Linked DNA regions of Stegostoma tigrinum. The protein of the gene in region 1 purifies or fractionates together with the protein of each later gene. This does not show direct contact. Links are inferred from orthologs where the notes say so. Each region holds a gene or a part of one and is shown in the gene's direction. Other genes may lie near its edges. The genes, in order: kifap3a, kinesin-like protein KIF3C, kinesin-like protein KIF3B and kif3a.

Region 1 (7,687 bases):
ATGTATCATGTGGCATAAGAATGTAAACAGGTTTAGTATTCACAGCAAAAACGAACTGCATAATTCACTATAGAAAGCAGCCAATATAAATTATATATAAGCATGTTAATCCCATGTAATCGGCTATAATGGAAAATGACCTGTCAATACAGTGCTGATTCATGCTGTACCATTGGGCTGCAGCTCATTCTCATGAATTAACATTCTGCATTACTTGCTTCGATTGCAGGTACTGTGGTAATGCTGCTAATTTGGTCAAACTGAAAAAGTACTTCAAATAAATAATACAATACAGTAAGGTAATCAATACTTGGTTGAGGGGTTTAGATGAAGTTGCCATGTGATTTGCTCTATGCTCATGTTTGCTATAATACTGTTGGTAGCACTATTGCTGCTGAGATACTGGATTCAAGCCCTACTCCAGTGCTTAAATATCAATGTTGACACTCCAGTGTAGTACTGAAGGACTGCTGCTCTATTGGAGATGCTATCTTTTGGAAGAAATGTCAAACCAAGGCCTCAATTTCATGTTTGGATGAACATAAAAGATCACTGCATTATTCTAAAGTATGGGGGATTTATCCTCAGTGTCATATTGATATGTATTTTTTAACCAACATCACAAAACACATTTTCTGTCCATTATCAAACTGTCAGGGGTGTGCAAATTGACTCATTTCTTGCATTGCAACTGCGTCCATTTGCACTTTGGAAGTGCTTCCTTAATGATAAATGTTTTGAGATGTTCAATGACTGTGAAAAGCATTTTTACTTATTTGTTTGTTTACTCAGTTGTGACAGAATAATCAACAGTAACAAATCCCAACCATGTCTGATGTGCAGTCACCTTCACACACAAAAACATTCTGGTGCCAGTTTTCTCCCACCCCTCTTACTTTTTCATGGAGACATTATCTGCTATGGGACTTATGAAGAGAGCCGTTCTTTTAATTAGACTTACAACATACAGTCCTTGTGCAGTGCTCAGCCTAAGAAGTACTCCATTTCCAGCCCTTTGGTGCACTATGGCTGAAAGGACCCAGGGAGCAACCTATCCCATTTGTGTCTCTGCTGCAGCTGCTCCAACTCTAGTGTGTCTCTCAACATGTAATTCTGGACCGTAGAATGTGCCAGTCTGCAATATTTAACTGAGGACAACTCCCTCAATGAAAGGCCAGCAAGCTTAGGGCAGACCAAAGAGCATCTTTTACTGAGTTGATAGTTCTTCAGGCACTGTTTATGATTGTCTTGGTTTACAGCCCTGAGAACAACCCATAGAACACAAAATTCCTGCATCAGAATGAAAGATGTTATATAGAGTGTTATATCTGTTTGCCTTTTGCAGTTTCAGATTTGAAATGCTTTTGCTGTTGGGTGTCTACCTCAAATGGGATGTGTCGTGTAAATATTCCGACCTTTACAATTGCTTCAAGTGGAATATGTTAAATGGAACAAGTTGAATTTTTTGTAAATATTGTGATATTGTAATTACGGTAATGTAGTTTTCATAAATGTTATTAATAATGTACATTGTTGGAATAAGCATCCTTTTAATTAGAAGAAAACATAAACAGCTCTAATACTGTGGTTTATTTGCTTCATATAAACTCCTAGTGAGTTTTGCCATATTTAATCATATGATGACCAACACATAAAGCCTTTCCCAAGTAGATTTTCGGAGTAGGTGATAATCTATCTCAAAATGCCCGATATCTTCAGCAATTTAGAAAACATCCAAATCGAAGCACTAGTGTAAATACATTCGATTTTATTTGATGGATGGGTTGTGACTCAGGATATTGGCCAACATTTACCCTTCAATCAAAATCACAAAACGCCTCATAGCTGTTCAGTATCATATTGCTGACTATGGGAGTTTTACTGTGCGCAAAACTGCCCAGTTTCCTGCATTACGCCAATACGCAATTACACGTTTAAAAGTATTTTATTAGCTGCAAAGCATTTTGCGCGGTCTAGTGGTCGTGGAAGGTGTCGTAACGATTCAAAACTGTAATCGTTCGGCTAAATTTGCTGAAACGCTGCCGCACAATCGAGTGGTATTTTAATCAATGACTGAATGATAAAACTTAGCCAATATGCTCTAAAGAATCCGAAAATATACGTAGCCCCCTTTAAATAAATGTTGCGTTTTACAATAACATTGAGCCGCAGTTTATGTTTGCTGCGATATTTTCACTCACTCTGCCTTTCCTATACGGGTATGGCAGCCATCACTCCAACTCACCCAAAGGCAACTGCTCCAACAGAAAGAGGTAACTGGAAAAGAAGTCACTCCTAATGGTTTTATGGAGAAAGAAAGACATGCTGTTGCGGCACATATCATCGTCAGTTCTGTCCCACCGCGACTTAAAAGCATAGTGGGCTTTTTTCCACTCCACCTTTTCTTCCATTGTATTTTAGAGTTTGGGATGTCGCTGGGTTTCCTCTATTTCTCCAGGTAATTTTCGGCGATTCGGATCCCACGGTGTAACTTCCCGGTATCTCTGTTCTTAACAACTTGGCGCTAGTCCTTGGACTGATCAGGCTCCGATCCCCCAAGCAGGTGCTGAAAACGCGCCTCCGTATGAACTCCAACCCTCCTACCCAACCAGCTCTGCCTACATTGATCTCATTTCAGCATATTCTGGAAATCCTAAATCCTGGTGTAAAACAAAGCTTTCGGACCACAAAACTTTGCTGAATGTGAATCTTACTAAATGGTCCATTGAGGTTTGTACAAAGTTCAAACACTTCCTGAGATTATGCAGGAAAATTGTGGTTCCGTGAGATGACAGGGAACCTAAGTGCCCAGTCAATGATTTGTGTTATGTATGCCAGTGACGCATCGTGAAAGGAGATGGATTTATCTGCGACTGAGATCCACTTCCCCTTCGTACAGTGAAGGAATTAGCAACTTCAAAAAAACATGAGCTGGGTCGCTCAGTAAGTTTGAGAGGAGAAATGCATTAGAAAAATTCACAAACATGGGAGATTGGGGAAATGTGGAGAGGCAAACTCGTAAAGCAAGACGCGTGGATTTTAATCATTTAAGACGACAACTCTACCATCATAACCTTCGGTTACATTTTCTCCAACCCAAATAACCTGTCTGAGAGATTATTCAAAACTTATTTTTATTCTTAGAGAAAACACATTTCTCATTTGTTTGATAAATGATGTGCTACAGCTACTGTTAAATGAATTGTGAAGATTACTACACATTATGAACAACTTGCATGTAAAAGAAAACTAGCATTGTTATTGTACCTTTCACGACCACGTGATATCCCAAAGCACTTTACAGTCAATGAAATATTTTATACAGTCACTACTGTCAAATAGAACATGTGGAAGTCATTTTGCACATTACCAGCCCCACAAACAGCAAATCGATGATGATCGAATAATTTTGGTGATATTGATTGAGAGATACATATTGCCCATTTTCTTGGTCTTTTTCTAAAAAAAAAGTGCCAGAGGATAGTTTACATCCACCTGAGAGGACAGACAGGATTTTGGTTTAATGTCTTACCTGAAAGCATCACAAAGGACAGAATGCACTGGAATGTCAGCTTGAATTTTTGTGATTAAGCCTTGGAATGGGACCTTAACCCACAACCTTTCTGTCTTTATTAAAATGTTTCAAGACTGTTCCTAAATGTGTATTTAAACATATTGTCACTCAGTCAAAGAAGGGGCAATTAAGAGTTATGGCTCAACGTTAATCAGAAACGATATGCTTTAAAAAAGGATAAGAGAATTGAGATAGATGGAAGAGTAGAGATTTAAGAGATTGAATCCCAGAGTTTAGGGGCTTCACTTTTCAAGTCATACGAACTAAAAGTAGGATATAAAAAGTGGAAATGAGCAAGAGACCAGAGTTGGAAGGAAGAAGAGTCCTGGGTAGCTCTCAGACTGGAGTATATTTGCAGAAGTGAAAATTGGAGGGACCCTATAGGGACTGCAGGTGAGGGACAATCAGGACTTCATGCAGTTTAGTAGGTCATCGGTGATAGATGAATACAAGACATGATATAGGCGACAAAATTTTGGATGAAAACGGAAATAACTGCGGATGCTGTAAATCAGGAACAAAAACAAAGTTGCTGGAAAATCTCAGACATAGTAGGAACTGGCCATGCTGGAGTCTGAGATAACAACGTGTGGAACTGGATGAACACAGCAGGCCTAGCCGAAACGTCAGCTTTTGTGCTCCTGAGATGCTGCTTGGCCTGCTGTGTTCATCCAGCCTCACATTTTATTATCTTAACGTTTCGGGTCCGTTGACCCTCAGAATCCGTTCACCGGACCCGAAACGTTAACGCTGTTTTTTCCTTCACAGATGCTGCCAGACCTGCCAAAATTTTGGATGAGTTGAAGTTTAAGGAGAACATACGAAGTTGTGATTTAAGGTGACAAAAGGTATGGATGAGGGCACGGAGAGTGATTTCAATCACGATATTTAATATTTCCTTTCATAGTTGGGCATTCTTTTCTCTGTTTGCACCTTTGCGAAGTTTCTGAACGTTTTGATTTGTTTTCTGTAAATGCAAGCTGTTTCTGCTGGTGACGACTCTTTCGATCGCAGTCCCGTTGACCTGGAGTTATTGTTGTTGGCCTAGTGGGGGTGCTGCAGGCGGAGTGTCCATCGTTGTCGGTTTAGTTCCGCCCTCCAGCGCAGGCTCCGCCCGCGCGTACCGCTGCGGATTGTGGGGCGGCTGCACTTGTCTCTGGTAACCCGGGGAGATGTGAGGGTGGCTTTGCTGTTGGGTAAAGTAAGCAAACAAAGAAACTGCTTTTGCAGACAGAATTGGAGCGGCCGATAAAGATGCAACCGGAAGATGCTCGCTACCTGAAGAGGTTGGTGCTGTAACAGGGGCAGGGTGTTGGTGGTTGCTTTTTTGGAAGGACCGGGTTGGGCCCAGGAACCTGCAGTCGCTGTTGTTGCATTTTGTGACTGCGGCACCTTAATCATTCTGCTGTTAACGTCTACTTCGCAGCTGCTCTCTCAGCTGTGGGTTTGACAGACATTTGTGCAGCGCGTATAATACTCTTCTCCCTTGTTGATGCTGACACTACCATAGCGTTCGTTTCAAGGTTGCTCTCAGATACATTCTATTAATGCATTCTGAATGAGTCAGCCTGGATCGTTAATATTACTATCCCCCCTTTTTTAATGGAGAGCATCATTCGCAGTTAAACTGAATCTTCGCTTACTGAGAAGGATTTCTTTTCCTACCACACCCTCGTTTGGAGAGGTCAGTTGCGTCCTATTATCACTGTCGTGATGATGATTGGGATACTCGCCAGATGAGCTCGTTGAGTGATGAGAACCAATGGTGGTTACCATCCGGGCTATTATCAGGTGGTAACTGGCGAATTTCAGGTCGTCTATAATTCTGTATTGACAGAAGTGACGTCTTGTGAATTTACAGTAAATTTGGCATTGTTTGTGATGGGGAGAGGAGGATAATGGGGAACCACGGATTGTGAACTCCAGGTTAGGAGTACTTTCTCTATAAAGTATTCAATTTGTGTCGAATAAAAGCAATCAACCTGTTATATGTATTTTAAAAAATTGTTTTACATTTATGTTCAAACAACAAATGGATAAATAACAGGTTAAGCACAGCTTATACAATTCAACTTGAGTAACAACAAATGATTGGTGCACTGTCAGTCAAAGCAGGACCAAATATTCTAATGCTTGTGACAAATACAATAGAAATAGGTGTAATCTACTTAGCCCTCAATCTTGTCCTATTATTCAGTAATAACATGGTTGTAATCTAATTCCATTTATTGACCTTTGCCCCTTATCCCTAATACCTTTGGCTAACAAGCAAATATCACACTTTTAAATTGACAGTTTATCTAACATTAATTGCCACGTGTGGAAGATGTTTCCAAACTTCTACCATACTTTGCAAAAGGACATATTTCCTAATGTCACTTCTGAAAAGTTTGAATTTTTTGACTATGCCATAAATTTTAGTTTTCCTAACTAATGGAAAATACTTCTCCAATCTAGCCTATCTGTTCACTTAATATCTTGATAATTGTAATCAAAGCACTTCCAAAATCCAAGAAACCTATTCTTAGTGTGTATAATACAAACAGAAATTCCTGGTGAAACTCAGCAAGTCTGGCACCAGCTGTGGAGAGAAAGCAGAGTTAATGTTTCAAGTCTAGTGGTCCTGGATCTTCAGCACCTGTAGTTTTTATTTTATTAGTTTATGTATTCTCTTTGTTCTCTCTTGGCATTGATACAATTCTGGGAGGTCTGTGATATGCCCCTCAAAGTCCAACACATTCATCCTGACTTCTGGTTTCCAGAACTGCTTAAAGTTGCCTAACCAGGTCTTTTTATAAGAGATAATGGGAACTGCAGGTACTGGAGAATCTGAGATAACAAAGTCTGGAGCTGGACGAACACAACAGGCCAAGCACCATCTTAGGAGCACAAAAGCGTGTGTAGATTAAATTTTGATAAAGTGTGAAGCTGGATGAACACAGCAGGCCAAGCAGCATCTCAGGAGCACAAAAGCTGACGTTTCGGGCCTAGACCCTTCATCTGATGAAGGGTCTAGGCCCGAAACGTCAGCTTTTGTGCTCCTGAGATGCTGCTTGGCCTGCTGTGTTCATCCAGCTTCACACTTTATTATCTTGGATTCTCCAGCATCTGCAGTTCCCATTATCACTATAGATTAAATTTTATCCCCTTGTGTTCATTACCCTTGATATAAATTTATGGCTCTATAAATTTACCCTCTTTATGAATGCCAACATTCCAGTAACTTTACTACCTACTTTTTGATACCTGTTTGTGACACTTCAGTAATGTGTATTTGGAATTCCTAGTCTTTATGACCATCTCAGTTTACAGCATTACACCATTTAGGGAGTATTCTGTTCTATTTCTAGTTAGAAAATGGATGAACTTGCATTTATCTGCATTGAAATCTCTTTCACCCTTTACTTAATTGTTGATAATGTCGTGGTTTTGTTTTCATGTCAACAATTACATTATCTAAATTATTGAAAGCAATGTATAATTGAGATCTCAACATACACCCTTTGGATCTTACGTGCCAATTTTTGATATTATCACCACTCTGCCACTTGTACAGCCAATTTATTAACCAGGTCAACAAATTACCTTACATTCCATGAGCTTCAATTTCAGTACAAAGACTCAACTGCTCTTTGGAAGTTCATATATTAGTGAGAATGAAGCATATTTGCAAACTAAAGTAGATTTAGTAGGGTATTTTAAGGAAATTAACAAGCACCATGCATATCCAGGATATGTGTTCACTGTAAGGCAGTTGACTTTTCTATAAAGTAACTGAATGCATTTATATTGAAATTGATAACTGAAATAATTTTTCAAATAACGAACAATGGAAAGATTATCTGGTGGTAGGAGACCTGGGGCCAAACAAAAAAAGCAAGAAAAAGTGGAAACATTTAGATTGTAGTCTTTTGCCCTGGATGCTACAGACTGGATTTTAACTGGACAGAATCACATTTACATTTTTGCCAGACTCATTCTGTTGCCCTTTCTAGACTGTTCTGATAGTCTGTGCATAGTTCCTCTCTGAAAACTGAAATGTTGGACATCTAAAAACAGCACTTTACACTTCAACGTTGTAAATTTCCAAATCGTGGTTTGCAAAATGATAAT
Region 2 (7,320 bases), on another chromosome or scaffold:
AGGGGACAAGGAAGCTTCAACTCCATTGAAAATCAGAAATAAAGTTAAAGGAAAGGAGAACTCAAGAGTTGTTAGTAATGGAGGTAATAGGACCCAAAAAGAAGGTGCAAAAACTGGCGTCAGGGCATATTATCTGAATGCTCGGAGCATGCGAAATAAGGTGGATGAGTTGACGGTGCAAATCATGGCAAATGGGTATGATTTAGTGACCATTACAGAGACATGGTTATAGGATGGTCATGACTGGGAGTTAAATATCTAGGGGTATCAAACTGTTCGGAAGGATGGACAGGAAGGTAGGGGAGGTGGTGTTGCTCTGATTTTTAAGGATGTTATCAGGGCAGGAGTGAGAGATGATACAGGTTCTACTGGACAAAACATTGAATCCATTTGGGTGGAAATTAGGAATAGCAAGGAGAAGAAGTCATTGATAGGTGTGGTCTATAGGCCAACAAATAATGATATTGTGGTGGGGCAGGCAATAAACATAGAAATAGCTAATGCATGTAAAGATGGTGCAGCAATTATCATGGGGGATTTTAATCTACATATCGATTGGTCAAATCAGGTTGGTCATGGCAGCTTTGAGAAGGGGTTCATAGAATGCGTCCACGATAATTTCCTTGAACAACATGTAATGGAACCTACGAGGGAGCAAGCTAACCTAGATCTAGTCCTATGTAATGAGAAAAGAATAATTAATGATCTCACAGTTAGGGATCCCCTCGGAAGGAGCAATCACAGTATGGACGAATTTAAAATACAGTTGGAGCATGAGAAGGTTAAATCCAGTAGCTGTGTCCTGTGCTTAAACAAAGGAGACTTTGAAGGAATGAGATAGGAGTTAGCTAAGCTAGAATGGGAGCAAAAACTTTATGGTGGGTCAATTGAGGAAGAGTGGAGGACTTTCAAAACGATTTTTCACAGTGCTCAGCGGAAGTATATTCCAGTGATAAGGAAGAACTGTAGGAAAAGAGAGAGCCAGCCATGGCTGTCTAAGGAAATAAAGGAAAGTAGCAGATTGAAAAAAAAACGCATACAAAAAAAGCAAAGAGCAGTGGGAAACTAGTAGACTGGGAAATCTTTTAAGGCCAACAGAAAGCCACAAAAAAAGTTATAAAAAAAAAGTAAGATAGATTATGAGAGTAAACTAGCTCAGAATATAAAAACAGGCAGCAAAAGTTTCTATAAATATGTAAATTATAAGAGAGTGGCAAAGGTAAACATTGGTGTTTAGAGGATGGGGAGGCCAATTTAATAACTAGGAATAGGGAAATAGCTGAGACACTAAACAGTCATTTTATGTCGGTCTCCACAGTGAAAGACACAAATAACCTGCCCAAAACTAATGGCAAGAAGGTTAATAGCAGAGTAGGTCATGTTTACCTAATTTGGTGGAATTCTTTGAGGACATTACTTGCATGGTGCACAATGGGGAACCTGTGGATGTGGTGTTTCTGGATTCCCAGAAGGCATTTGACAAGGTGCCAGACCAAAGGCTGCTACATAAGATAAAGTTGCACGGTATTACAGGTAATGTATTGGCATGGATAGAGGATTGGTTGACTAGTAGAAAGCAAAGAGCGGGGTAAATGGGTATTTTTCTGGTTGGCGGTCAGTGGCTAGTGGTGTGCCTCTGATCAGTGTTGGGGACCTCAATTGTTTACAACTTACATAGATGATTTGGAGTTGGGGACTAAGTGTGGTGTGTCAAAATTTGCAGATGACGCTAAGGTGAGCAGTAGAACAAAGTGTGCAGAAGACACGGAAAGTCTGTAGGGGGATATAGATAGTCTGTGAGTGGGCAAAGGTCTGGCAGATGGAGTACAATGTTGATCAGTGTGAGGTCATCCATTTTGGTAGGAATATCAGGAAAATGGACTATGTTTTAAATGGTGAAAAATTGCAGCACGCTGCTGTGCAGAGAGACTTGGGTATCCTTGTGCATGAATCACTGAAGGTGAGATTGCAGGTGATTTTAAAAGGCAAACGGAATTTTGTCTGCCATTACTCAAGGGATGCAGTTTAAAAACAGGGAGGCTATGCTGCAGCTGTATAGGGTCCTGGTGAGGCCACACCTGCAGTACTGTGTGCAGACTTGGTCTCCTTACTTGAGAAGAGATATACTAGCACGGGTCGGGGTGCAGAGGAGATTCACTCGGTTGAATCCAGAGTTGAGAGGGTTGGATTATGAGGAGAGACTAAATAGACTAGGATTATACTCATTGAAATTCAGAAGAATGAGGGGAGATCTTATAGAAACATGTAAGATTATGAAGGGAACAGATAAGGTGGGGGCAGGGAGGTTGTTTCTGCTAGCAGGTGAAACTAGGACTGGAGGGCATCACCTCAAAATAAAGGAAAGCAGATGTAGGACTGAGATCACGAGGAACTTCTTCACTCAAAGGGTTGTGAATCTGTGGAATTCCCTGCCCAGTGAAGCAGTTGAAGCTGAATGTTTTTAAGGCAAGGCTAGATAAATTTTTGAACAGTAAAGGAATTAATGGTCATCGTGAGTGGGCAGGTAAGTGGAGCTGAGTCTCAAAAATATCAGCCATGATCTTATTAAATGATGAGGCAGGCTCGAGGGGCCAGATGGCCTACTCCTGCTCCTAGTTCTTATGTTTTTATGTTTCTTTTAACAGCTTAGAGCTGCACTCTTCAAGTTTCCTGCTTATTTGTTGTCCTCGTAAATGGTGCTAAGTTCACACCTGAAGAAGACCTAATAGCACCACACCCCTTCAACCCCATCACTTCAGAAAAGTGAGAATAAGGAGTTGCTGAGTTGAAGATGGCAGCCAAATAAAATTTGCTGCAACACCTTGGGCACTACTCCAAGGGCTACAATCATCTTTCATTCTTAGAAAACCTCCTTCACTGAAGTGTGTATCTCTTAGTAAAGAATGGATAGAATTTACCTTCCAATTAATTAGTGAATTTCCCTCCTGTGTCATTGTTCTTGCTGGCTTTTGCCCTATGCATCAGTCACAGCCAAAATCCCACAAATATGCCTGGATTGTTATGGAGATTTAAATTGACTGAAATGCAATATTCAAATATGTTTCACTTAATGCTTCTTTGAATCTTAATTATGATATATAGTATAGACACATAGAGTTAAGGGTTATATTATAGCCTTGAATTACAAGCCAGCCTTAGTTCTCTTTCTGCACAAGGACAATAAAAGGAATTGAACTTCACTGTCTCCTTTGGTTCTATCAAGTGAGATAATGTAAATGTGTAAGTTTGCCAAAAGTCCTGAGCCAGGATCATTGATCCTAATTTCCCAGCTCTTGCATCCCCCACATTCAGCACTATTTGTGTCAGAGACAAAAACACTCCATGTTCAAATTCAGCAAATTCTCGGGTTGGGCTGAAAAGTAGCAGTGACATCTGTGCTAGACAATGCCAGGCAATGACTGTCTTCAATAAGAGATAATCTAACCACTGCTCCTTGACATTTAATGGTTTACCACTATTGAATAACACCCCTTGCCCCACTAGTAGAAAGGGATGAATTATTGTCATTGGCCAGATGATAAATAATGACACGTATGCTGCTAGTGGTGTTGAGTTGAGGTATACATATTGCACTTTTACAACCAATGCAGTTATTAACAATAAAGCATTTCAGAATGTTATGAAAGGACTTTCACTGTGGCCAAACTGGAGATGCTTTATAAAGTACTGACAGGTAATAGTGGTACAGATATAAAAATCAAGTCCTTCACATCTGATGAGTCATTGATCTGCTTGCTGGGGTCGATATGAAAGATTTAGAAGAGCAGAGAATGTTCATAGTGTGCTGCTGAATATTTGTCCCTGATCCTACATCACCACATACAAAAAAAATATGGTTGTGGTGATTTATTTGGGGCATTTGGAGCCTACCTGGATGTAAACTGGCAGTTACATTTTCCGACCTAACAGCTGTGACTGCACTCCAATAGGCAATACTAACGTGGCACAGAGCTGCTAGTTGTCTCCATCATGAACAAACGGATCAACATTTCCATCCATATCTTTATAAATTGAGAATTTTGTTTGTCATTGTCAATGGGGTTTTTGAAAGTCTAATTTCTGGAATATTCCGAGTTCCTGACTGTAATTTATAGCATCAACCAACCCATGGCCTGCCATTAGATTGGCGCAGTAGCACTGTGGAAAGGGGAGACAAGTCATTCGCATTTGTTTTCCAAATCTCCACACTACAGCAATAACTCCATTTCCCGACAGACTGTGCATGTCTAGGGCGGACCCAGCCTGAGGATACTGAGCACGTTTGGGGCGTCCTCCTGTGGCGTTGTCTGTACCTGCACCGTCTCAGTCAGGCTGTGCTCCAGCCCCAGAGCCTGAGATCACACAACCTGCAGCATCCCAATGACAAAGGCGTTGTCAGCTGCAAATGGGAGAAGCTCGCAGCCAGCTAGCCTCCGCTGTGTCTCCACCCTGTCCGGCTAAAGGACAGCTCGGTCTGGGACTGTAAGCTGCAGGCTGCAGCCCTGAATGTGATGATGCGGAGCGGGTGCATTGTTTTATTGCAGAGACAATACAGCCAGTGAAAGGTGCCAGGCTGAGGGAGACTGCATTCCGAGCAAAGCCAGAAAACAAGACAAAATGTCCAAGGCGAAGGTTTGTGAGTCGGTGAAGGTGGTAGTTAGGTGCCGCCCAATGAATGGGAAAGAAGAAGCGGCTGGTTGTGAACGGATCGTGGAGATGGATGTGAACCTGGGGCAGGTGTCTATCCGAAACCCCAAAGGCAGTCCCACGGAGCTGCCCAAGAGCTTCAGGTTTGATGCGGTCTATGAGAGCAGCAGCCGGCAGAGTGAGCTCTATGATGAGACGGTCCGCCCTCTGGTAGACTCAGTGCTGCAGGGTTTCAATGGCACCGTGTTCGCATATGGGCAGACAGGCACAGGGAAAACCTACACCATGCAGGGAGTGTGGGCCGAGCCGGAGAAAAGGGGCATCATTCCCAACTCATTCGAACACATCTTCACCCATATCTCGCGATCCCAGGACCAACAGTACCTGGTGAGGGCTTCCTACCTAGAGATCTACCAGGAGGAGATCCGGGATCTCCTCAACAAGGATGAGAACAAAAAGCTGGAGCTGAAGGAAAAACCAGAAACTGGGGTTTACATTAAAGGTAACGGAGAAAGCGGTTACTTTCAAATTGTAAACAAATAACAGTTTTATTTAAAGAATTAAAAACCCGGAGCGTGATTAAATGTGTGACGATTTGAAAGGGAGATTATCTCCCAGGCTGTGATGGAGGCCAGGAATTCTGTTTGTTTTCTTCACGAGGACTGGGAGGGAGGGCGTGTAGAGAGGAGGGGTCGGTATCATAAAACAATTGACATTTTGTGGAGAAATTGAAAATCAAATCAAAAATTCTACTCCTTAAATATAAATAATCTTTTTTTTCGCTTCAGGACAATCCTTAAGCTCTGAGACAACTTTTTTCAGCTGCAGTTTTGCAGGTTTTTGCATTATCATTAGTGGGTACGTAACTCATTCGGACAGAAATGGTAATAAAAGGGAAGAAAATGAGTCAAACATCTGGTCAGTCAGAAGACCTGTAAATAATTATATTCAGATGATATCCAGGTCCCAGCACTGGAATAATGAGTCAAACACTAGAATATACTTTGAGCTCAGCCTGCTACCTCAGACATGAATCAGCTGAAAAATACAATTTGAATAAGTTGGTGTTCACCACTGTCATTTCCTACCAGCTAGACTCTTCAATATTGCTCTTTGATGCCTTCAACAAAATGCAAATGTCATTATGAATCGGCATTGGCTCATTATCTTCAACAAAACATTCCAGTAATTGGTAGCACTGTCAAATAGTTTGAGGAATGGCTCAGCTGACTGCCAGAGGTCATTGTGCACATCGGTTCAAATGACACAGGTAGACAGAGGGATGGGATCCTGCAAAATAAGTATAGGGAGTTTGGTAAGAAGTTAAAAAGCAGGACCTCAACGGTAGTCATCTCCAGATTACTCCCAGTGCAATGTGCAAGTGAGGATAGAAATAGGAAGGTAGGCCAGATGAATGCATGGCTGAGGAGCTGGCTTCGGAGGCAGCATTTTCGGTTCTTGGATCATTGGCAATTCTTTTGTGGGAGAGGTGCCCTGTACCTCAGGGATGGGTTGCACTTGAACCAGAGGGGTCCAATTTCTTCGTTGGGAGATTTGGTAGTGTTGAAACTATTTTGGTGGGGGTTGAAGGGGATGAGAATCTGAATAAGAAAGGGTCCATTGAGAATTTGGGGAGAATACATTAGCCATCGAGAGCAAGTTTACTATTCAGGATAGCTAGGGGTACAGTAAAGGGAGGGAAAAGACTTCCAGTTTAAAATGTATTTATTTCAATGCATGAAGCCTCATTGGTAAGGCAGATGAGCTCAGAGCATGCATTGGCTCTGGGGACTAAGATATTATGGCCATAATAGAAACATGGTCAGTGTTCCAGGATACAGAAGCTACAGGCGTGAAAGAAGTACAAATAAGTGAGGTGGGGGTAGTTGCCCTTTTGATAAGGGAGGACATACCAACAGAGCTTAAAGGAGATATTCTTAAGGGGTCATCAAATTAGGCCATATTGTTAGAACTTAGAAACAAGAAGGGATGGTCACTCTGTTGGGACTGTATTATAGACCCCCAAATAGCCAGTGGCTACTCGAGGAGCAGGTATGTAGAGAGATTCCAGGTACCTGTAGGAATGATAGAGTCACACTGGTTGGAGATTTTAATTTCCCCTGTATTGACAGGGCCACCCAGTGTGTAAAAGGTCCAAACAGGGTGGAATTTGTCAAATGTGTCCAAGGAAGTTTCCTAAATTATTGTGTAGAGGGCCCTATTCAGGAGGGTGCATCACTGGGCCTCTTCTTAGGAAACAAGGTCAGGAAAGTGACTGAAATGTCACTCCAAGAGCACTATGGGTCCAGTGGCCATAACTCTCTTAGCTTTAGCATAGTTATGGAGAATGATAGGACAGGTCCCCAGGTTAAGGTGCTGAACTGGAGCAGGGCCAACTTTAGGCCCATTAGGCAGGATCTAGAAGAGGTCGACTGGGTGAGTCTTTTTGCTGGAAAAGGAATGACCTGGCAAATGGAAGCCTTTTAAAACTGTAATATCAAGAGTCCAGGGACAGAATGCCCCTTTGAGGGTGAAGGGAAAACTGGAAGATTTAGGGATCCCTGGCTAACAAGGGATGTCGAGGCTTTTGTCAGGAAAGTGAAGAAGGCTTACATTGAGTTTAAGCTATGGGGTTCATGAATCCCTAGATGACTATAAAAAGTGTAGGAGCAC
Region 3 (7,191 bases), on another chromosome or scaffold:
TGCTTCTATATGTTAATAAGGTTTTTAGTCCCAAATTGTCCCCAATTCCCATTTTTGCAACATTTTTTCCTTTGTGTCCATGGAAGACTTTAGGATTCACTTTAATGCTGGCAGCAAATCTCTTTGCATGTTCACTCTTAGATTCTTCTATTTGCTTTTCTATAAATGGATGGGAATTTCTAAGGAGTAGCAATCTCAAACAGATTACCACTTTGCTCCTTTAATACTTGCAGTGAAAGAGGTCCACCTTTCTGTCAGGAGATTCTGAATAGGGCTCCATAAGAAATATGGAGCCATACTTCCATCATTCCATTACTCAGAACAGTCAGGGATAGGTAAACCACACTTGCGTTGTCCTATTCTGAAATCTAAAGGTCCAGCAACACAGACAGTGACATTGACAGCTCCTATGAAAGTGTAGTGTGGGGGGAGGGGAGGGTACCAGGTGGCAAGGACGACAGGTAAGTGATGGAGTGTTTTAAGTAGGATCGGGGTCAAGGCAAGATATTGAGGCCGGCATAGAGCAGGGATTGTGGTGTCTGGTCCCAGAGGGATGAGAGGATATTGGTTCCTGGGAATGGGGGTGGGGCTGGCAGCAAGAGAGTGATGTTTGGATGTTTGGGAGGTAGGGCAGTGGTGTTGAGTCAGGGAGAGGCAGAGTTGGGTTCAGCAGGAGGTGATGAGGAGATCAGATCTGATGGAAGGGCAGTATGTGTTCAGGTCTAGAGCAGGAAAACAGGGGTCAAGTTCTGGGGGATGGTGTCGAATCCTGATCTGGCAGTGGGGCAGAGTGATTCAGGTCTAATGACAGAAGAGTTTGGGAATTGGTCTAGCAGTATGGGAAAGGGCATTGGGCTCAGAGCAGAGAAAGGGATTGGGTCTCAGAGGATAATGATAAAGGCCAGGGGGAGGTATATTTGGGTGTGTGTGCATTACGTTGGGAAGGTCAGTCTAACAGTTACTTATGTGTTAGCTTAGGTATTTAATGCACTACCTTTCCTGATTAGCTGTTTACTAAACGCAGTAGAATTGGTACCTTTGCTTTATTGATATGCATTAATAAACAATTGCCTCTTGGTGTGCAGAGGGCAATTTCATACGTTGTGAATGATTCAAAACTTGTAAGCTTTGTAAACTGTGAGGAGATCAAAAGGAGACTTGCAAGTTATTGGAGTGAACAGATAGATGGCAGTCCACTGCAGAGGTGTGATACATTTTGGTACAAAGAAGAGGGTAATTTAGAGTAAACAAAAGGCCCAAATCTAAAGGAGTGGAGTAAACTGAGTATATATGTGCGTAAAGTCATTGGAGGTGGCAAGACAAGCAGAGAGCTGTTAATATAGCAAATAGAATCCTAAACTTTATTAATAAAATATAAAATTCAGAGTATAAGTGCAAGATGGTTATACTGTACTTGTTTAAGACACTGGTTAGAGCTCAGCTGGAATATTGTGTTCTGGAGCCACACTTCAGGAAGGATGTGAATGAATTGGAGAGAGTGCAGAAGAGGGTTACACAAGTTTGATTTGATTTGATTTGATTTGATTTATTGTAGTCATGTGTACCTAAGTACAGTGAAAAGCTCAGTTTGCAAGCAGTACACACAGATCATAGCAACCAAGGACACAGAGATCATAAGAGTTGCTGATGCTGGAGTCAGAGATAACCCAGTGTGAAGCTGAAGGAACACAGCAAGCCAGGCACCATCAAAGGAGCAGGAAAGTTGACATTTCAGGTCAGGACCCTTCTTCAGAAATCGAGGTTGGGGTTGCGAGAAGGGAGTTCAAGTAAATAGAGAGGAGGGTTGGGGCTTGGGAAGGTAGGTGGGATGGTGATAGGTGAGTGCAGGTAGGAAGTGGTGGAGATTGGCCAGTGACATGGGAGGAGGGGATAGGTGGGAGAGAAGATGGACGGGTTGTGTCAGGTCAAGGAGGTGGGGAATGAGAGGGAGGACTGGTCATGGGGTGAGGCCAGCCGTGGGGAGATTTTAAAACTGGTAAAATCCACATTTAGGCCATCAGGCTGTTGGCTCCCAAGGTGGAATATGAGCTGCTGCTCTTCCAGTTTCTGGGTGGCATCATTGTGACAGTGGAAGAGGCCCAGGATGGACATGTTACCCAGGGAGTGGGAGGGGGAGTTGAAATGGTTCACAACTGGATAGTGTTGTCGTTGGTCGCAAACAGAATGCAGGTGCTTTATAAAGCAGCCTCCAAGCCTCCGCTTGGTCTCATCCACATTGGGAGCAGCAGATGCAATTGACCGCATTGATGGATGTGCAGTTGAACCTCTGTCTAATGTGGAAGGTTTGTTTAGTTCCTTGAATGAAGGTGAGGGGGTAGGTGTAGCACAGGAAAGGTGCTGGGTGTGATGGGGTTAGTGGGGAGTATGGAGTGGACGCGGGACTCACAGAGTGTGCAGTCCCTATGATAGACAAGTAGGGGTGAGGAGGTAAATATCTCTTTGGTTGTCAGGTTGGATTGTAGGTGGCAGAAGTGGGGGAGAATGACACATTGGATACGAAGTTTAGTGGGGTGATATGTGAGGACAAGGGGATTATGTCTTTGTTTCCATTCAGGGAGGGGCTGTGAGGGCAGAGATTCAGGAAATGCAAGCGATGTCGTTGAGAGCATTTTCGACCACCAAAGTAGGGATGTTACGGTCCTTGAAATAAGAGGACATCTGGGATGCTCAGGAGTGGAATGCCGCATCTTTGGAGCAGACACAGTGGAGGATTGCATTCTTGTAGGAAGGTGGGTGAGAGGATGCGTAATCTAGGTAGCTGTGGGCTTAAAATAGATGTCAGTTTTGAGGCAGTCACCAGAGATGGAGACAGAGATGTCCAGAAAGGAGAGGGAGGTATAGAGATGGTCCAGGTGAATTTGAAGTTGGGGTGAAAGGTATGAGTAAAGTTGATGAACTGTTCAAGCTTCTTGTGGGAGCATAAGGCAATGCCGATACAGTCATCGATGTAGCAGAGGAAGAGGTGGGGGATAGTGCCAGTGTAGCAGCGGAAGAGGGATTGTTCCACATGTCCTAGATATAAATCATAAGGTGCTTAGACAGTGAGGCATACAGATTACACTGCATAGGTGGTGTGCAAAGCAAGATCAACATTAATAAGATCAACATTATTTGAAGTTGGAGAATTGATTCTTCAGTCCAATAACAGCAGGAAGAAGCTGTTCTTGAACCCATTAGTGCATGTGTTCAATCTTTTGTGTCCTCTGCCTGACAAAAGAGGTTGTAGGAGAGCATTAGCAGGGTGGCTGGTGACTTTGATGATGCTGGCAGCCTTTCCGCACAAGAAGAAGGATAAGCAGAGTCCATAGATGGAAGATTGGTATCTGAGATGGCCTGGGCCATACACACAACCTTCTGTAGTTTATTTTACAGCTTTGGGCAGAGCAGCTCCTGTACCAGGCTGTTATGCACCCAGACAGTATGCTTTCTATGGTGAGGGTCCTTATGGACTTACTGAATTTCTTAAGCCACCAGGACAAATAGTTACAGCAATAACAAATCTCAGTTTTGATGTAACATTCGAGAAGTTTGGATTGTTTTCCTTGGAGAGGAGAAAGCTAAAAGGCAAGTTAGGTAGATGATTGAAATACTATGAGAGGACTGGGCAGAGTACAGAGTGAGAAATTGTTTTAATTTGTAAAAGAATTGAGACTAATAGGCTTAAAATAATGTTCAAAAGAAGCAGATTCAGTGTGAGGAAATCTCTTTCACAGTGACAATTTAGGGTCTGGGATGCAATGCCTGGAAGTATGGTGGAGGCAGGTTTAATCAAGGCATTCAAGAAGCCAGCAGATGATTATTAGAATAGAACCTTTGCATAGAATTACATTTAAAAAAGGGAGAGCTGCACTCGGTCATAATGTTTGATGGGCCAAATAGCCTCTGGGGTTTTCCAAGTGAAGAAATTGAGTTGTGTTGCAGTTAAAGAGGGAAGCGTTTTTATATATAGCACTGGGATAGCTCATCTCTGCTGTTTTTTTGGCTTGGAGGCGGCGTTAGAAAAGGCAACTGTTGTCCTTTGTTAGAAAGTGTGTCATTTGGCCGGAGAGCATAGTGATCAGAGCAATCTTGAAGAGCTCCAGCTCCGGGTGGAATCCTCCTCAGGGTTTCGGCTCCGACTCTGAATCCAGCTCCTTGTTTTCCTTCTCATCCGGGACAGTGTCGCCAGCGCCGAGTCTCCTGCGCTAATGGTTGACCGCAGCTGAGGAGCAGGTAGAGCCGCAGAAACGCTTTGACCCGCCTCCTTCCCGAGTGAGGCTGCTCGCTCTGACCGATTCGGGGCAAAGTGGGTGTTCAGGGCCGGATTTAGCGATCCGGCTGTCCGGGGCTCCGGAGAGGGCGATCGCTGCCTGTGTCAGCTGGGCGGCCGGGCGTCTTGTTTGTCCGTTGCTAGGCCGCTGGTGATGGAGAGGCGGCAGCCGACGGGAAGCCCAGGTGAATGCGGGGCAGCAGAGTGGGGCACGCTGCAGAGCCCGGCCAAAAGGTGTGGCTAGACCAGGCCAGCATGGTGTGTCCGGTCCGGGAAATGTGGAAGGCTGGTATCCGGTTCGGAAAATTTATGGATGTGAATGGGGACGGAGGGTGTTCGTCCCTGGAAATTTGTGGATGTGAACCGGGAGGGAGGGAGTCCGTCCCTGGAAATTTGTGGATGTGAACCGGGAGGGAGGGAGGGAGTCCGTCCCTGGAAATTTGTGGATGTGAACGGGGAGGGTATTTGCCCCAGGAGTAAAGGAGGAATGTCTAGTCCAGGAGTTATGCCGACCTGTACTGGGAAGATGAAATCAAAATGTAATGAAGTGTGGTCGGAGAGACCAGCTGAGGAGAATTTCTGAGAAGAGCATCTGGCTCAGGGATGATGTGTTTGAAAAGTAGGGTATGGAGGGTGGGAAGCAGGTGGAGATGAGGGGACTGGTAGGCTTGTCCATAAATATTACGTTGTTAAGGGATGAAGAATGAAGTGGCCGGTACAAGAGTGATGGGAGTGGTGAATGATGGTCTTACAATTGCCTCGCTTTGGGTGTGGTGAGAGAGCAACATTTGGGTAGGAGTGATGGGTGAGAGTGTTAGGTACAGGGAGCGCCTGTCCTTTGCTGTTTCCCTTTGTCGTTCTATTACTGTTGTAATTTGGTTTACTGTTAGCCAGTTTTACATGTTTTAAACACTGAATTTTGAATCATTACTCCAGTACACACAGTTATTTTTGCTGTAATATATTGTAAATTCTAAGTTTTTTAAAATGTACTTTGTGATATGTTCATGTTTATCTAAATGCACTATGCTGATGTTTGAATTACTTTAAAGGCACTCTCATGGTTTACTGAGTTCTTATTCATGGCTGCGTGACAGTAATTGAAAAAGCAGTTGCACAGAGGTGAGTATAACTCTACCGTATATCTGGTTATCGTAGTAACATAAAGTTTAAGGTTTCCCTGGAAACAAGCTCATCTTGGGAGCATGGCTGAAAATGAGTTCAGTGCACAGTCTTCATTTGCAGTGCATGCAGCTTATTCCTATAAAACTTCTTCAGTTTTCTTTCATTTGCAATGTAATATCAGTCAAAGTTTTAAGAATCTATGTAGTGATTTCACTAAGCTTAAAAAAGACGTCCTGTGACTCTGGCATTGCTGCAAGGATTAAACTACATTGTCTCTGTTGCAGTGTGAAGCCAGATTTGTATCTTGTCTTCCAAACGTTAATATATAGGGTGTTCAACAGAGAGACATGATCTTAGTGGTTTTGTTGCTTCTGTAGTAATTCAGAGATCCATGTCACACTCGGGGGAACATTTATCTGAAATCCTGAATCTTTCCACAAGGTGAAATTTGCATTCAAACAAAAGTCTGGAATTAGAACTCCAACAATGACCATGAAACTATCATTGGTTTTTGTAAAAGCCCACCAGGTTCACTAATGTCATTTAGAGAAGGAAATCTGCTATCTCTACCTGCTCTGACCTATAGGCAATGGAACCAGTTGTAAGCAATGAGGGAATTCCTTGTCCCACTGTATTTTTTGTTTTATTTCATGAGGAAATATACAGTCCAGATCCTAGGACTTACGTGGTGCATGCAGTGTCCCTATCACTTAACCAGGATGCCTGAGTTCAATTTCCACTTGCTCCAGAGATGTGTAATAACATCTTTGAACAGGTTAATTAGAAAATAACTGGAAGTTGTGGTAGGGACATGACCCCTGCACCACAGGAATCCTGGATTTCATATTTACTCATAAAATAAAACTAATATTACGCAATGGGACAAGGAATTCCCTCACTGCTTACAACTATTTCCATTGCAATGTGAAGGCACAGAATCGACAAACCTTAATTTCACTGAAATTATTATTATATATTTCCCAGATTTCTGTGAGGGCTACTGATTCTCCTTAGAAATTGAGCTCAAATGAGTTCTTGCATTTTGATTCACTTGTTATATTGGCTCTATTTGGTTTGCACTGAAACTGTAGGAGACAGTGAAAGAATTTAACTTGAGTTCTCTGATTCCTATTTCTCTCAGGGCCTTTTCTTAGTCCTGGGAGTGTAATTAGTATGAAATCAAGATTCTCACGTGTGGTTCATTGTAATTTGTTCCTCTTAGATTTCCCTCTGTTTCTTAAATGACTACTCTTTCAATGGAGGGAGAGTGCAAAATTTGTACATGGCCAAAAATAGTTTTCTATGATTTAATTTAGTTTTCTATAATACTAATGGTTGTGACTGTAATGGTTACTTTGTTTGTCTTCCTCTATCCAACAAATATGTTTAACCCCTTGAACAGAGCAACAATATTTTTGAGATGAAATTTGATTTGTGTTGGAATAACTCTGGAGTTAAAGACTCCTGAGAAAAATTTAAGTTTGTATTTTGTATCCATCCTCACTGTAGAGGATACGGACAACATTCCAGAAGCAGCAAGTTATCACGAAATAAAAGGAAGGAAGGAACTCGGCAAAAATGTCAGCCCACAGCTGCAACAGTTTACTCGATATTATTTCTCTGGTGATTACAATCTTCACTGAGTTCCTGGATCCCATTGAACTTCATCGTAGAGTTTTGAAAGTAGCTAGTGAGATTGCTGATGCATTGGTTTTAAAATTTGAAAGTTCCATTGATTCAGGGATGGCCTAATTTGGTAGGAAGATAGCAAATGTATCTCTCTCTCATTTTAAAAG
Region 4 (7,786 bases), on another chromosome or scaffold:
TACACAGGAACATCACCAACTACAAGTTCCTCAGCTAGCCACTCACCATTCTGACCTGGTGATGTCTCCATTCCTTTGTTCCTTCAGTATTTCCATTACTTCATTATTACTGGGTTGAAATCCTGGAACTACCTTCCAATAGGATAAGAGTGTATCAGAACTGCAGCAATTTAAGAAAGTAGCACACTACCAGACTCTCCAGGGTAAATAGGAATAAGCAATAAATGCTGGACCAGCCTACAAAGCCCAGATTTCCTGAATGATTTTTAAAAAATTGTACTGTGGTCCAGTGCATTTTTAAACTGACCCATAGCCAGAGAAATCAGGCCTGACAGAAAATTGGCCAAACTAAATTAAACAGTAGGCAGTAGCTATTAATTACAGAGGAGAGTGGAAATCAACATCAAAAAGTTTAGAAAAGTTCAGGGGAACCAGCAACAACCAGTCTGAAGATTGATACATTTCCAATACACAATCAGCTATTTTTGGCATCTTGACTGCCTGAACATATGCACTTTACACCTCCTGGCATTACAACAATGAATGGTGTTGGTGTGACCTCACTGGGTGATTGAACCCAGCTCATGACCCCATACTACATATAGCCATACAACATTCGGAAAGTCAAGGGCAAGGAAAGTTAAGAACACAGACCTGGATGCCACCCCATAAAGGAAGACTCAACCTGGTCTAGCAGTGGAGCTCCAACCAACTGGAGTAAGAGAGAAGACCTGCCCCTACCTACAATACCCACCTTCATGAAAGGGAACCAGCCCTGCATTGGCGAGGAAGGAGAATCCAGCTCAAATACCTGGATCGTTGCGGGTAATATCCTTTCTCAGATGATAGACAAATAGTTAACATAGTGGGAGTTTGAGAAATGCTCATGTGGTGTTTTTAATAGGGAAATGTATTGTTAACAAAATTGAGCTGAACTGCAAACAGAATCTGTGTCTCTTTGTTTGCTTCACTGACAAGAGGTCTTGGGTAAAATGTTTTTAGTACATGAACTGGTCAAAGTGTTCAAAGAATGGACAACAACAATTTTGAGTAACATGCATATTGTTGTATTTCTATTTCTTTTTACTGTAACAGTGTATTATTATGTGGACTGCATAATATGAAAAGACATCTGTGACTCACTTGGCAGTTCCCTACAGCTAACTTTTAAAGCCGTTCTGTGCTCTCAGCAGCCATCAGTGTAAAATCTGTGCTTAAAAAATCTATACTGATGTAGATGTGAGAATATTTTCCCTCATGACCTAGATTTGAGTCTACATCAGAGTCCTGGTGCAGTTGGGAAGCTAAACCTGTGTGGTTTCCCACTGACGTAGCCAAATCTCAACTATTCCATGAGTGTTGACTTCATATTGCAAATACAAAATATCTAAGGTCTCTAAAGCATGAGAAATACTTCCCCATTTATCCATAACTCTAGAAATGCATGATCTTCAGAGTGATTGGGCTGATTCAGCAAGATGCTTTCGAACAAATAGACAGCAAAAAAACTATCTTGTCAGTCATTACACAACAGTTCAGGACCTGTAAAAGACTCTACAAGATTCTAGAAGTTAGCAAACAACAGAATCAGATATACTTTTGAGGTCAATATAATTTCTCCAAATTTTGCTACATGTCAACATTTCAGAATATTTTGCAATAAATAAATGCTGAATGGTTTTCACCCAGTAAATCCAATTCTATTGACTGTCAGCATGATTCAGCACAAAATGTCCAAGCCTTTTTGTACATAAATTCAGCATGGTCAATAAGATAAAAACAAAGTACTGTAGATGCTGGAAATCATAAAGATAAAGTGCTGGAAATACCCAGCAGGTCCCCGGTAATAAACAAGATTTAATGTTTTGGCTAAAATCACTGTCAATTCACATTCAAGTTATGAGGTGAAGTATGACACTATTCACGACTACATTTCCTTGACAATATGTTTATCTGAAGAAAGCAGCATCACACATCTCCGTTTTTTACCTCCTAAACCTCCATGCCTCAGCAGTCTTTATTTCTGTGTGTTGAAGTACTTAATGAAACAGTAATTTTTACCTGTGTATCCTTATTAATATTATTATTGTTATTACTACTATTAGCAATGATGCTTTTTAACCCACTTTGAATAAGTCATATTTGACTTAAAGCATTAATTCTTTCTCTTTCCATAAGGGCTGCTAGACTTGCTAGTGTTTCCAGCACTTTCTGTTTTAATATCTGCTGTGTCACTGTGGTTTACAGTTATTATATATTTGGATGAGTAATCCAGAAGCATTGATTAATAATGCAAAAAATCGCATTATGTGAATTTTGTACTAGAGTACTGGAAATAAGAATTGGTTTCAAAAAAAGTAATTCTGAAATTCTGCATCTAAACGTACAACTAATTCTAGATTTACAACTGCATGAAAATCAAGGCTAATAGGCCATGATATGCTGACTTTTGGATAAGCTGTTTAATTTTTGCTTCATGGTGAATCCAAATGATCCCATGACACTATATCAGAGGAGATTTCTCCAGTGTCCTGGTCAATATTTATCCCTAAATCTGCATATCAGAAAATGATTTCATCACAGTGTTGTTTGTGTGAGTCTGCTGCAGCAAATTGTAGCCTGGTATCTTCATGTGCAAAAAACAAAATTAAATGATTGCTAATAATTGAACAAAAACCTACTAACTCAATCAGAGCAGTACAGTGGATCAGTGGCTAGCACTGCTGCCTCACAGCACCATGGATCCAGCTTCAATTATACCCTTGGGGGAACGTGTGGTGTTTTCACATTCTGCCCGCATCTGCGTGAGTTTCCTCTGCATTATCCAATTTCCTCCTACAGTCCAAAAATGTGCAAGTTAGATGGATTGGCCATGGAAAGTGCAGGGTTGCAGGGACTGGGATACCCTTCAGAGGGTCGGCGTGGATTTGATGGGCCAATTGGCCTGCTTCTACACTGTTGGGATTCCATTCTTCTCATCATGTAAACATAACATATGGAGGAACAACTTCTCTGTCTTCTGTATACTAGAATCATAAAATGATTTTTTGAAAAATGAAATTAATTTATTCTAAATAATTAACAACAAAATACCACATAAACCGAGAAGATCACAGGCCGATTTCCTGATCTGTACTAAGGCTGGATGTTGTATTCAACCTGGATATAATTGGGTTGCAATTGGTTTCAGTTTTCCTCAGCAATGGAAGGAGAAACTTAATCCATGATTTCTTTTTACTTTCAACAATCCCTGCTGGAAATGTGCTTGCATGTGTTATATAATGACCAGATTGAATTTTCTTAAGATTATTCCACTGGTCCATAAGCTGACAGGTGATCAGACTCAGGAGGTACTGAAGAGCTAGTACTATTATATAGTAAATTTGAATGAACAATTTGGTGAAAAGTGAAAGTCAAATATGCACCTTTGTATGTGTCAATGGGCTCATTGACAGTTATCCCTTCAGATGTTCAATACCAAATCTTTGGAGAGACTGAAAAACTATCTAAGGTCACAAACTGGAGACCTTGGCAGTGTTTAACAATGGAAATGAATGACATATGTGTTTCAAAGATAATGTAGCAGAAGGAATTAATGCTCACACTCCACCCATATTGAACACCACTCACTCTACTGATGTCACACATAGTCTGTAGGTCAAGACAGTTGCTTGCCAGCCCATTTAAGAGGAGAGTTAAGAATTAACCTTATTGCTGTGGGTCTTTAATGCATCTCAGCCAGACCAGATCAGGTATGGTTGGTAGATTTCCTACCCTGCAAGACATTAACTTATAAGATTGTGTGCTTTTTTACAGTAACTGGAACACCCACTAACATCAAGAAGAAAAATTCCTTGCAGAATCTAACTTTGCCATCTTTATTTAGAAGTGATAAGCAAGGTTGTACAAAAGTGCTCGGCCCTGAGAAAAATCCATATGTAAACTGACGTAACTCTATATGTGGAAATTAGATCTGCACAACTGCATCTATCAGAATAAAAATGAACCAATTGAATTGAAAAACCAGTAAGAGCATCATGATCAACGTTGGAATGATTACTGTTCTTAGACAAAGAAATTATGTGACATATTGTTTTATTGAGTATAGAATTATCATCTTAAGAGATCACACTATGTTTGAAAGCATTTAACATAAAATACTAAATTTCATTTAAAATAATGTAATCAATAATTAAATTGATTTGACAAATCTAGCACGAACTATACCACTGGTTGAAATGGGCAGGTCGGTTGTCTTGCCTGTTATGTGTGGCCGCTAGGATTCAAATCTACCCCAGTGTCAAGGAGAGGAAATCTCTTCAGCCTACTGCTTGCGTTTATTTGAAATGAGTTTCAGCAGTTTCACTCTTGTTGGCACAAAGCCATATTTGCAAATCTTAGTCAGAGAAACCACAGGCACGAGCGATTATGATAGATGCAGCTGTAAGCTTGTGGTTGAAATGGAAAGTGCTTCATCCCCCACCATCCTTCATAAAGTTATACAATTAAAAAATCAATGTATACAGATTAATTGTGTCTTACCCACTCAGCTACCTACACAAATCTCCCTCTTCCTCTTTCTTCTGCGGGGCCATTGTTAGTTCTGCGGCTTGTTCCCTCTCTGTCTGTCAGCGGTGGCCATGGAAACCAGACGCGCGCCATCTTCCATTCTGATTCGTGGCGGCGCGCAGAGCCCCGCCCCTTCCCCGAGGCGGGCCCAAGCTATTCGACACCGATTGGCCAATGCGGACCGTCAATCAAGTATGGGGGTGGACCGTCCGTGTGTCGCTGGCAAGTGAGCATGCGCAGAGCGGAGTCGAAAGGGAATCTCGGGGGTGGTTAGGCTCGAGCTCTTTGGGGTGAGCAGGAGGGAGTACTCGTGCAGGGGCGGCGGCGGCGACGACGGTCGGAGTCAAATTTGAATGTGCTCTCGAGGCCCGTGGCGACGATCAAAATGCCGGTGAGTGAGTTAATGTGAGTCTGCAGACAATAACGGCGGGCTTTGGCCGGATGGAGATATTCGGACTAGGGAGTGGGAGAAAGGACTCACGGGCCTCTGTTTAACCGCTGAGATGGAGCCTGGGTTTCAGATCTCCCGCTGGGGAGAGAGACCTCAGTCTGAAGCAAATCTGGACAATTAAAAACTCAAGCGCCCGGTTTGGTACCAGCCGTCTGCGAGCGGGGGAGGGGTGCGGGTTGGGGATGCGGCAGAAATTGGGTAGCACCCTTCGCCGTTTATTTTTCCTCACACCAGTTAAGCCAGATTCTTATTCCCCACCACGTCTGGGATCGGACTGAAAGATCGCTATATCCCTCCACTCTGATCCTCCTCCATTTATTTAAGGGAGGGCGGGCGGGCGATCAGTTGTAAGTGTACGAACCGACTCCGCCCACCCCCACCCTATCCCGCCAGGAAGGATCATCGTGATGGATTAGGTTCGAGCAGCGGGGATCTGGAGGTAGACCTGAATGTGATGTAGATATCACACATAGAGACACGCGCAAAAAGCTTGTGAGCCAAGCCCAAGCCGTAAACAGGAATCTGCTGTAAACAATACGTGGGGGTTAAGCCTGAGAAGGCTGATGACGCCCGCACCCATGTGTGTGTGAAACGGAAAGGTCTCTGAGCTTGCACAGGGTGAAGGGTTGCAATTCCAGGGCTGATGTTGCACCAGGTTTGGACGGATGGCCATGGCGGAAATATTGCCAGATGACAGGGCTTCCCTTTCCCTGAGACCCGCTACATACAACCTCCGTTCCTTCCAGTGCAGTTTAATGGGAGTGGTTCAGACTCCCCCGTCTGTATTTTGTTGCTATTCAACAACTTGTGCTAGATTTGAAGGGACAGCTACGATGGAAGATGCAGTTAAACGTTTTCTGGAGATTTGGATCCGTTATGAAGTTGGGTTCGTAAATGTCAAATTAGTACTTGCAAGTGTATAAAAAATGGTGCAGGGAAATTTACCAAAGTCCTGAATGTGACATTAAGCTTACAATGCCAGAATCCATTCACATAAACTGTTTTCCATGCTAAAGTAAATATAAGAACCAAAAGAACTGTGAATGCTGTAAATCAGAAACAAAAACAGAAATTGCTGGAAAAGCTCAGCAGGCCTGGCAGCATCTCTGAAGAGAAATCAGAGTTAACAGAATCCCTACAGTGTGGAAACAGGCCATTTGGCCCAACAAGTTTTCACTGCCCCTCCAAAGAGCACCCCACCCAGACCAATCCCCTACCCTTGCATTTCTCATATCTAACCCACCTAACCTAAACATCCCTGGTCACAATGCGCAATTTAGCATGACCAATACACCTAACCTGCGCATCTTTGGATTGTGGAAGAAACAGGAGCACCCAGAGGGAATCCACGCAGACACGGGGAAGAATGTGCAAACTCCACACAGTCGTTCGAGGGTGGAATCGAACCCAGGTCCGGGGTGCTGTGAGGCAACTGTGCTAACCACTGAGCTACTGTGCTGCCCCAAAGAAAGGTGAGACTCCTTTGAGCTGGAATTGAATCGACGACCTTTCAGGTCTGGAGACCCTTCCTCAGAAATGAAACATCGACCTGAAATGTTAACTCTGATTTGTCTTCACAGAGGCTGCCAGACCTGCTGAGCTTTTAGAGCAACTTCTTTTTCGAAAAAGAAGATGTAATTAGTTGAATCATCAGAATCACGGAGTAACCAGTACTTTGCTTTTGTACCAGCATTTAGAGTCTCAATGCAGCTCTGACCTGGACTGGAAGTGATCTGAAAGTCAAGTCCCTGTCACCATCACTTCCAGTCAAATGATGCCTTAATTTAAAAACAGAACTTGTTTGTTTTCAAATTTCTCCACCATTGGCGGCTGCACTTCAGTGTACAATTTCAGCTGCATACGTTGAAAATGGTGCAAAAGACCAATAAAGGTGATTTGGAGCTATGTGACCCTGTTATCTTATTTTCATGTTCTGTATTTATATACAGTAATTTAACTTGGTGTGCTTGGAGAGTGGCTTTTTAATATGCAGGTTAAAGGAAGGATCAAAATTACTCTAATGGTTCTCTTATGCTAATTAATTATTGTAGATTGTACTTTTATTGGAGCTTGTCCTTGTTTGTAATGGTGTCAATAAATTTCAGTATAATTAAATTTATGATATCAACATGAATCTGGATTTCAGGAATGTCTTTTCTTCAATTTCAACATTTTTTTATTTGTAAGCCTGTGAAAATCTCAGCTACAAAAGAGAGACGTTGTCACCAAGGTTAAAACCATTACTAACACAGCATCTGTACTACTCAGTCTTCGTGATGTCAACACAGAGTAACCTACATTTACCTCAGTAATATAAAACAAAGAACTTCAGTCCTCAAGATCTGAAACTAAAACAGAAATTGATGGCAAAACCCAGCAGGTCTGGCAGCATCTGGAAGAAAGCTAGTACTGTCAGTAACTAAAAGAATGTGATATTTATGTAGAAGATGAGGTTTGGGGTTGTGCGAGTGAAGAAATGTAGCCCAGAGAGAGACACATGAAAGGGGTAGGTAAGTAAGGAGATTATGAATAGCAGGCCAGGACAGAAGGAAAGCTGAATAAATAACAATAAGAGCTAGGATTAGGAGAGAATGGGTGAGCTGTACTGAAAACAACTCCTCTTTTAAGGATGGTGCATTGAAATGGCAGGAGCTGGAAGCTTTGGGTCATCTTTGCAGACAGATCATAGGTGTTCTGCAAAGTGGCCACCCAGTCTGTATGTTTGTCACCCCAGTGTAGAGGAGACCACAGTGTGTCCAGTTAACA

What was found.
Region 2: the proteins of kifap3a (region 1) and kinesin-like protein KIF3C purify together in Homo sapiens (co-immunoprecipitation; 3 studies listed by BioGRID and IntAct, counting the BioPlex papers as one, with this or other methods). This does not show direct contact. The link is inferred for Stegostoma tigrinum from reciprocal best matches to the Homo sapiens genes KIFAP3 and KIF3C.
Region 3: the proteins of kifap3a (region 1) and kinesin-like protein KIF3B purify together in Homo sapiens (co-immunoprecipitation; 7 studies listed by BioGRID and IntAct, counting the BioPlex papers as one, with this or other methods). This does not show direct contact. The link is inferred for Stegostoma tigrinum from reciprocal best matches to the Homo sapiens genes KIFAP3 and KIF3B.
Region 4: the proteins of kifap3a (region 1) and kif3a purify together in Homo sapiens (co-immunoprecipitation; 9 studies listed by BioGRID and IntAct, counting the BioPlex papers as one, with this or other methods). This does not show direct contact. The link is inferred for Stegostoma tigrinum from reciprocal best matches to the Homo sapiens genes KIFAP3 and KIF3A.

The regions. Positions count from the first base shown.
Region 1 is NC_081361.1:46,861,341-46,869,027, reverse strand, and holds the start of kifap3a (kinesin-associated protein 3a), read left to right. Parts: upstream 1-4,686; 5' UTR 4,687-4,828; coding exon 4,829-4,860; intron 4,861-7,687. Other genes in the region: ntmt2 (N-terminal Xaa-Pro-Lys N-methyltransferase 2), read right to left, coding at 2,246-2,411. UniProt on the Homo sapiens protein: Involved in tethering the chromosomes to the spindle pole and in chromosome movement. Binds to the tail domain of the KIF3A/KIF3B heterodimer to form a heterotrimeric KIF3 complex and may regulate the membrane binding of this complex.
Region 2 is NC_081357.1:131,544,979-131,552,298, reverse strand, and holds the start of kinesin-like protein KIF3C, read left to right. Parts: upstream 1-4,314; 5' UTR 4,315-4,617; coding exon 4,618-5,149; intron 5,150-7,320.
Region 3 is NC_081372.1:26,402,628-26,409,818, reverse strand, and holds the start of kinesin-like protein KIF3B, read left to right. Parts: upstream 1-4,179; 5' UTR 4,180-4,233; exon of another isoform or gene 4,234-4,504; intron 4,505-5,322; 5' UTR 5,323-5,392; intron 5,393-7,191. UniProt on the Homo sapiens protein: Microtubule-based molecular motor that transport intracellular cargos, such as vesicles, organelles and protein complexes. Uses ATP hydrolysis to generate force to bind and move along the microtubule. Plays a role in cilia formation.
Region 4 is NC_081366.1:15,192,001-15,199,786, reverse strand, and holds the start of kif3a (kinesin-like protein KIF3A), read left to right. Parts: upstream 1-4,782; 5' UTR 4,783-4,954; coding exon 4,955-4,960; intron 4,961-7,786. UniProt on the Homo sapiens protein: Microtubule-based anterograde translocator for membranous organelles. Plus end-directed microtubule sliding activity in vitro. Plays a role in primary cilia formation. Plays a role in centriole cohesion and subdistal appendage organization and function.